2 linked regions of the Alligator mississippiensis genome follow. The protein of the gene in region 1 interacts with the protein of each later gene in a pairwise test. Links are inferred from orthologs where the notes say so. Each region holds a gene or a part of one and is shown on either strand. Other genes may lie near its edges.

What was found. The genes of interacting proteins can lie anywhere in the genome.
Region 2: the proteins of TFCP2 (region 1) and carbonic anhydrase 1 interact in binary tests that used the Homo sapiens proteins (3 or more experiments, as listed by UniProt). The two-hybrid records come from large-scale screens. The link is inferred for Alligator mississippiensis from reciprocal best matches to the Homo sapiens genes TFCP2 and CA1.

The regions. Positions count from the first base shown.
Region 1 is NC_081838.1:10,255,524-10,259,272, reverse strand, and holds the start of TFCP2 (alpha-globin transcription factor CP2), read right to left. Parts: upstream 2,579-3,749; 5' UTR 2,383-2,578; coding exon 2,261-2,382; intron 1-2,260.
Region 2 is NC_081826.1:50,076,016-50,079,764, reverse strand, and holds the start of carbonic anhydrase 1, read right to left. Parts: upstream 2,938-3,749; coding exon 2,857-2,937; intron 1-2,856. UniProt on the Homo sapiens protein: Catalyzes the reversible hydration of carbon dioxide. Can hydrate cyanamide to urea.

The sequences.
Region 1 (3,749 bases):
CGCCTTGGGAACGGTGGCATCCACCCCCGGGAAATGTCATGGTGGGAAAAAGCGATATCCACCACAGACTTTCCCTCTGGGGATGGTTATCACTACAGCCCAGTCAAGACCGGGAAGGCTCCCAACAGCTTGTCCAGAGGAGGGTCTCACTGGGGAATGCCCCCCTGCCCCTCCAGTCTCATCTGCCCTTAATCCCCCAGAGCCCACGCTTACCTCTTGTGCCCCTCACTTACACAAAACTGGGGGTTTAACCACACTCAGCTGCCCCCGTGCTCACAATTATCTCACGGTGAGCAAGTGCTAAACCCAGTAATGTGGCCCTGTTTTATTTGGGGACAACTAGTTTAGGCCTCACCATGGGACAAGGCTGGGGGCAGGGAGGTAACACGGAGCGGCCAAGTTGCGGTAAATTCTCCGTGAACGACGGACACGTGAACAGCAATAACTGCATGAATGGAGTTGCATGGAATTACGTGACTGTGAGGGCAAAAAAAGGTTAGGGCTGTCTCCTCCACCCATGCCTCCGCTGCCATCTTAGCATGAATGACTCAGATCTGCTCCTCCAGCCCTGACCCATCTCATCTTGGCCCATATCTCAGACATCTCTATGTCAGCACCAGCTTTCTGTGGCTGAACTCCGGATCCTGCCCCCACCACTGCTTCCAGAGCCTTCTCATCACTCGGGTGTGTAATCAAGGAGTCATCTCGGACTTCCCCCTCCCTTTATTTCAAGCAAGTTTTATTCTGATTTCACCTCAGCTGGGCAGGAACTGTTGTGAGCAAACCAAAGTGCAAACCGACTGGATCTTCCCTTCAACACAACTCCCCCGCTGGCTCCCCACGCCATTCCAACGCAAGGTATAGTTCAAGCAGCCGATTCCCCCTACCTGCAAGGCCCTGCTTCCTCTCTATTCCCCCTCACTGCCACATGCTCCTTCCCAAGCCAAAGTCAGTCTCATGCGGCCCTCCTTCTGCATTCCCCCTCACGCCTGGCGACTCTGAGCTCTCACCCCCTCTTCTCAAGTAGATCCCCACACGCTTTGCAGGGCAAGTGCTGCTTCCCTGACCTGCTACCTGGTCTCCTTGATCCCTTTCCTGGAAGCCAGAAGATCCACAGGAAACAAGCAAGCTGGAGGGAAACAGGTGGCACTTTCTATTAGTTGGGGTAGTGGTGGAAGGGAATTATCAATACGTACGAGCCATAAAAATCGCACCTACTGGCTATTTATCGCTCCCCCTGACTCTGCCTATGCCCCGCACCTTCTCGGACTACAAGCGTGACTGTCACCATCCTGCACCAAACCAAGGGTCTCCAGTGCTGAAAGCCTGTGCCGCTGGGACCAGAGGAGAGCATGCCCTGGATGGGTCAGCAACACATACAACTCTTTTGACGCACACCTCTCCCAGTACGGCACCTATCACACAAAGGCCCCAAACACTGGTGACCACAAAACAAGCACGAATTACGCACTTTATCACCCTTCGGCAACGACTCGAACTCCTCCCTAACCCACAGCGCGGGGAGGCCAGGTCTGAAGCTAAGGTCTGCATTCAAATCATAGCACAGCACTCAAAAGGGGCTTCTTCACTTCCCCCTCTCCCAGGGGCAACTCATTAGGGCAGGATGACGCTTCCAGGTGGACTCGTTGATGTGGCATCAGCCGCTCTGCATGGGATCAGCAGCCCAGCGGATGCCTGGGAATTAAGGAGCCTCCACGTCCCCTCAGCCCAGCTCCGTCACCTGTCTCCAGCTGTGGCCAAATCCCTGCTGCTTCCAGAGGCAGCACCAGGAGAGACAGACGGAGTCCAGTTCCCGGCTCTCAGGTTTACGCAACGCCGAAGCAGGCGGCACCGTTACACCACTTTGCCTTCGGACAAATTACTCACCCAGGTTGTTAAAAACCCTGGAGTCTCCCACACCAGCCTCGTGCCGAGGGCAGCGCAGGGCTTCCCGGCGCCGGGTCCCAGTTCTAGGTCTGTGCAGCGCTGGAGTATCCTAAATTGACCTCCCTTTCCTTTCGCTTGGGAGGAGGGAGGAGCAGGTCCAACTGCCCTCGAGGGGTGCCAATAAACGCCGGGCACCAGGCAGAGGAGAAGGAGTCACCTACCACGCGGCAACGGGATACGGCGCTCGCGCCCACGCAGCTCAGCCACGAGTCACTGGCACCCACGGACGCGCCCCGCGCCCTCCCACGACGCCCCGCCACGCGCCAGTCCCCAACGGGGCTCCCTTCGCAGCGCCGCGGGGCGGTCTCCCTACCTCATGCTGTAGGCCCCGGCGCCCAGCTCCTGCCCGATGCCCGAGAGGCTGGCATCGAAATCCTGCACCAGCCCCGACTCGATCACCTCGTCCGCCAGCGGCAGCTTCAGGGCCCACGCCATCCTGGCCGCTCCGGGGGGTCAGCGCACAGCGAGCCCCCACGGGGCCGGCCACCCCGCAGACGCCCCCCTAGTCCCAAGGCACGTGACCCGGGGGGGGGGGGACCCCGGCCCCACCGCTACCACCACCCCTGAGGGCGTTCCGGGGGCGCTGTCCTGCCCAACAAGCGGGGCTCCCAGCACCCCAGCCTTGCTCCCGCCCCGCCCCGCCCCGCCCCTGCAAGGGATATTAGCCCCCCGGCACCCCCCACCCCCACGGATTTTAACCCCTCACACCCCGTCACCCTCAGGGGACGTTAACCCCTCGCACCCTGAGGCCCAGTCTTTCCTCCCAGGAAATTTAACCCCTCACACCCCCCCTCCTAGGGAAGTTAACCCCTCACACCCCACGGCCCAGTCTTTCCTCCCATGGAAATTAACCCCTCGCACCCCAGGGCCCAATTCCCTTCCTACCACAAGCCCGGCCCCCGGAGCGCCCGTTCCCCGCGAGGCCCCGGGCGCAGCTCGGCGCCCCCGGCGGCCCCCGCAATATGGAGGCGGCAGCGTCGCGGACCCCCCACGCCAGCCCGGCCGGGAACACGCCCCGCCCCCGTCTTCCGCCCGCGGCCAATGGCGACGCCCCTGGCCGCCCGACGCGCACGCGGCGCCGGCCAATCGCCGCTCCTCTGGGGGCCGCGGCCCGGGGGAGCCGCGCCGCGATTGGCTACGAGCGCGGGGCGGGGCGGGGCCGGCGGGGTGACGGGACTCGGCGTGGTGGGGACCAGGTTCGGCCTCCTCCCCCCTCCCTTGGAGCCGCGAGTTCGAGTCCGGCCCCGCCCCGGGGTGTTAACCCTTCACGCGCCTGGCCGCAGCGGGAGGGCATTGCCAACCTGTGCACGTGCAGATGCTGCCCGTGTGCAGTGCGCATCCCTCCCTTTGTGGCTGCCTGTCTCCCAGCACCCAAAAAGCTCCCCCCCCCTTACAGAATTAAACCCTGATGATTTGGGGATTAAAAAAACAGGCCTGATCTCTGCCTCCCTCCTGCCTGGAGAGCACCGGTCCGTGCAACCCTCCTTCCCGCCAGCCTCGAAAATCATCCGGGCTCCTAAATTTAGCAAGCTCTGAATTTTTTTTTTTTTTTTTTTTTGGGGGGGGGGGGGGGTCATTTTTCTCACCACCTTGCAAAAAGGATGTGGACCAGGATGCCATCTGGTGGCGAACCCTGCTCTGCAGTCCCAGCCCGACCTGGGGGTGGGGGGTCCAGTCTGGCCTGGGGGGCGCAGCAGGTGTCTGGGTGCGCGCGGGATGCTTCGGCAGCGCCGGCCGCTGCGGGGCACGCGGCGCCCGGCATCGGGTCCCTGAAAGCCGAAGACAGTCGTGGAAACAGATGG
Region 2 (3,749 bases), on another chromosome or scaffold:
TTCCCCTCTTGAAAGCACAGAGGCGGAACAGGATCTTGGAAACATTATTGACTCCAAGATGAACATGAGCTGCCAATGCCAGACCACAGCCAGCAAGGCCAGCCAGACCTTGTCATGCATCCAAAGGTGCATCTCAAGCCAGTCCAGAGAGGTGATACTCCCCCTCTATGCAACTTTGGTCAGACCACAGTTGGAGTAGTGCGTCCAGTACTGGGCGCCGCACTTCAAGAGGGATGTGGCCAGCCTGGAGAGGGTTCAGAGGAGGGCCACCCACTTGGTGAGAGGGCAGCAGGATAGGCCCTGCGAGGAGAGACTGAAGGATCTGAACCTGTTCAGCCTCAGCAAGAGGAGGCTGAGGGGGGGACCTGGTGGCTGCCCACAAACTCATCAGGGGAGATCAACAGCAAATAGGTAGAACCCTTTTCTCCCAAGCACCACCTGGGGTGACAAGGAACAACGGTAAAAAGCTGATGGAGAATAGGTTTAGGTTAGAGATCAGAAGGCAATTTTTTACAGTAAGGGTAGCCAAAATCTGGAACCAACTTCCCAGGGAAGTGGTCCTCACCCCTACCTTGGGCAAATTCAAGAGGAGGTTGGATGATCACCTGTCTGGGGTCTTGTGAACCCAGCATTCATTCCTGCCTGTGGCAGGGGGTCAGGCTACATGATCTGTTCAGGTCCCTCCTGACCCTAGCTACTATGAAACTGTTTCATTTAAAATACATGAACAGTGTAGCGGCAGAGACCAACCCTCCCCCCACACAAATTGCCTAACTACTCATTTACGTAGTCATGCTGTCTTCAGAATCATGCTCCCTTTTGCTCTCCTCAAGGCACTGTGAATCTTGCTTCACTGTGGGCACATCTACACATGCCATTAATGCACTGTAAGCTTACTGCACCTTGAAGTAATGTCTTAAAGTAAGGCGCAGTAAGCTTTCCTCGGAAGCGCATTTACATGTGCACCCATTGGGAGCAAGTTTGCTCCCAATGGGAGCAGCTCAGTGCAGGGCTACTCCTGCTCTGCTCTGCCTCTCTACAGCAGCCAGAGGGAGCTCCAGGCTCTCCTGGGTGCCCACCCCAGGCTGTCACAGTGCACCAGGGGCTGGCCGGGTTCTGGAGATGAGGGGAGCTGTTAGACGATCAGGGTGTGGGGTTCAGCAACTGTCATTCCTCCAAGCAGTTGCTTCCCAGCCCTATGCCCCAATCTGCTGATTGGAGCACAGGGCTGGGAGACAGCTGATCAAGGGAGGGGACAGTTCCCCTGCCCCCTGCTGCCTGGCCTGACCAGAAGCAACTTGCTCCTGGTCATTTGTCTACATGTGCACTACTGCACACTAGCTACTGCACAGTTAATCTACAACCTGTATCTACAGGTAGTAGCCAACCATACAGTAGACTAATTTACTGTACAGTAACTGCTGCACAAGTGTAAATGGTGATGCTTTACTGTGCAGTAGATTAGTCTACTGCACAGTAAAGTGTCTATATAGAGGTGGAGCATGTTCTCACTCAATTTAGCACATAACCTAATAATAAATAAGGCATGTTCTAAGAAGATATGCATTTGAATCTTCTTAGGCTGATGAGGAAATTGAACCAAAGTTTCCTGTTCTTTGTAGTATGCCACTACCACCTCCTCATCCTCCTCATACAAGGAGTGAACTCTTTTCAGTTCTTTCAAACAATACTTGTAGGTGCTTACCATTATGAATGGTTCTGAGCTGACGCCACTGTTGCAGCCTAACTCTTGGAGACAGATGAGAGTTCACAATTGTTTTACTGAGAAGCCGTGTAAGGAGCATCTCTCCTAGAACAGTTTAGGGGATCACCCTTGACCTTTCATCATAATTCTGTTGTCTATAAAATGCCTAGAGACTGTGTAGGAAAAGCCTCCCCTCAAGACTTCAGCTGGAACAGAGCTTAGTGTTGTCCATCACAAAATGTGTCTCATTTTGGTTTTGTTGTGGTATCCCCTGTGTCTGACCTACCTTGAGTTAATTTACTTTCTCTTCATTCAAACTTTTGGGAAAGGCAAATGTTTCTAATCTGTAGCATCAGCAAATATGCTGTAAATATGTTTCTGCAGGGGTAATGTAGTCAGTGTGCTGGCTTTATATATTCTTAATCTTCCTGGGTTCATCTAAGTATATCTTGTGCTTGGTTAGAACTGTTCTCAGGTATTGAGAATTCTTGTCAGCTTCTAGCATTTGAAATCAAGGTCAGACATAAAGCTGTGCACTGGTAGAGAAGAGTTGCCAATCTGCTGGAATTTCAGAGTAGACACGTCCAGAGTTTATAAAGGCAAACAGCTTAGGTCAGATTTTCATTCCTGGATTATTCCAAGAGAGACTGCCAGAGTACATGAAACCAGATTGCCCAGCTCAGATTTTCATTCTTGAATGGAGATTTGGATTTCAGCATGTACATCATGCAGGAAAATTCTTATAAGAAAACTACACATGTCCCCTTCTTTGAGAGATTATGCACTTTTTTGGATCAAATCTGAAAGCTGTGTCTTAAAAAAACCAGAAAATATGTGTGCTGTATAAGGCTGAACTGTTTTAACAGAAGCATTTATAGTGATGCTTTCTTTATTGTATGTTCATTTTAACAAATTTCCATAAGGAAAACTCTCTTTTATCTCTGCTGATGCTAAATGAACTCATTTTTGTCCTCATGTTACTTTACCTTTCACAGAGTAAACAGTAAATAATGTAAGTGATAAATTAGATACTGAAATGAAAGAGCATATAAAAGGTACACCTAATTTTTGGCTAAGTGTGTTTCATTCTGTTTTGATCAAATCAAGAAAACCTAGATAATTATCTGTGTTACAAATGCAGCAAAACTTACCTCCATATCCTGCTCTTTTTGCTTTGGCAGATCTTCGATATAGATCTGGCTGTTGATGGGGTTTCCATCCATGCCTACCATACCGTCCATATCTGGCATGCATCTCAGTGAAGTGAAATGCACATGACAGTCTGGCTTTTTCAGTGTCATGCCACCTAGTATATTAAATTCTTCAATCAAAAACACAGTATGACAGATTTTTCTTGTACTGCCAGGTACACTGCATATAGTATAAAGGCAACCCCTGCTTAATGCTGTTTCACTTAGCGCTATTTCACTATAACGCTCATTTGAAATTTATACCTGATTTCACTTAGCGCTCAGCGAGTTTCATTATAACGCTCTTGGTCACCATTTTGGGTCATTAAGAACAATTGTGGTCGCCATCTTGGGTTGTCAAATACTTTTGGTTTCTCTTCATGCTCATTTCACTTAACGCTCAGTTTTTCAGGAACCAATTAATGCTAAGTGGGGGTTGCCTGTACTGAAATTTTCACAATTTCTTTCTTTGTAATAAACTTCTACTCTGTTTTTGCTTCTCTCACATGCTGTTTAAATAAAATGAGGTGTAATTTTTTAATTAGTAAGGAATAATAATGGTGGATTATTTATGTATTACTATGTAAGAATGTGTATGCTCATTTTGCATTTTTATAGCATTATATCTTCAATGTAAACTAGCCTTAATGCTAGTCTGGTTGACCATGGAAAGATCACCCTATTCTCAGTGGATCCTTGAAAGTTTTACAGCTATCATACTAACTTTTATGCTTCTAGTTGCTGGCATCAGGTAGTATGGCCAGGTCTTCTCTGCAAATCAGCCATTCTTAAATACCATGTTGACCAGAGACTATGATGGCAAATGATATAAATTAAATTAAATCAGCCTTGGT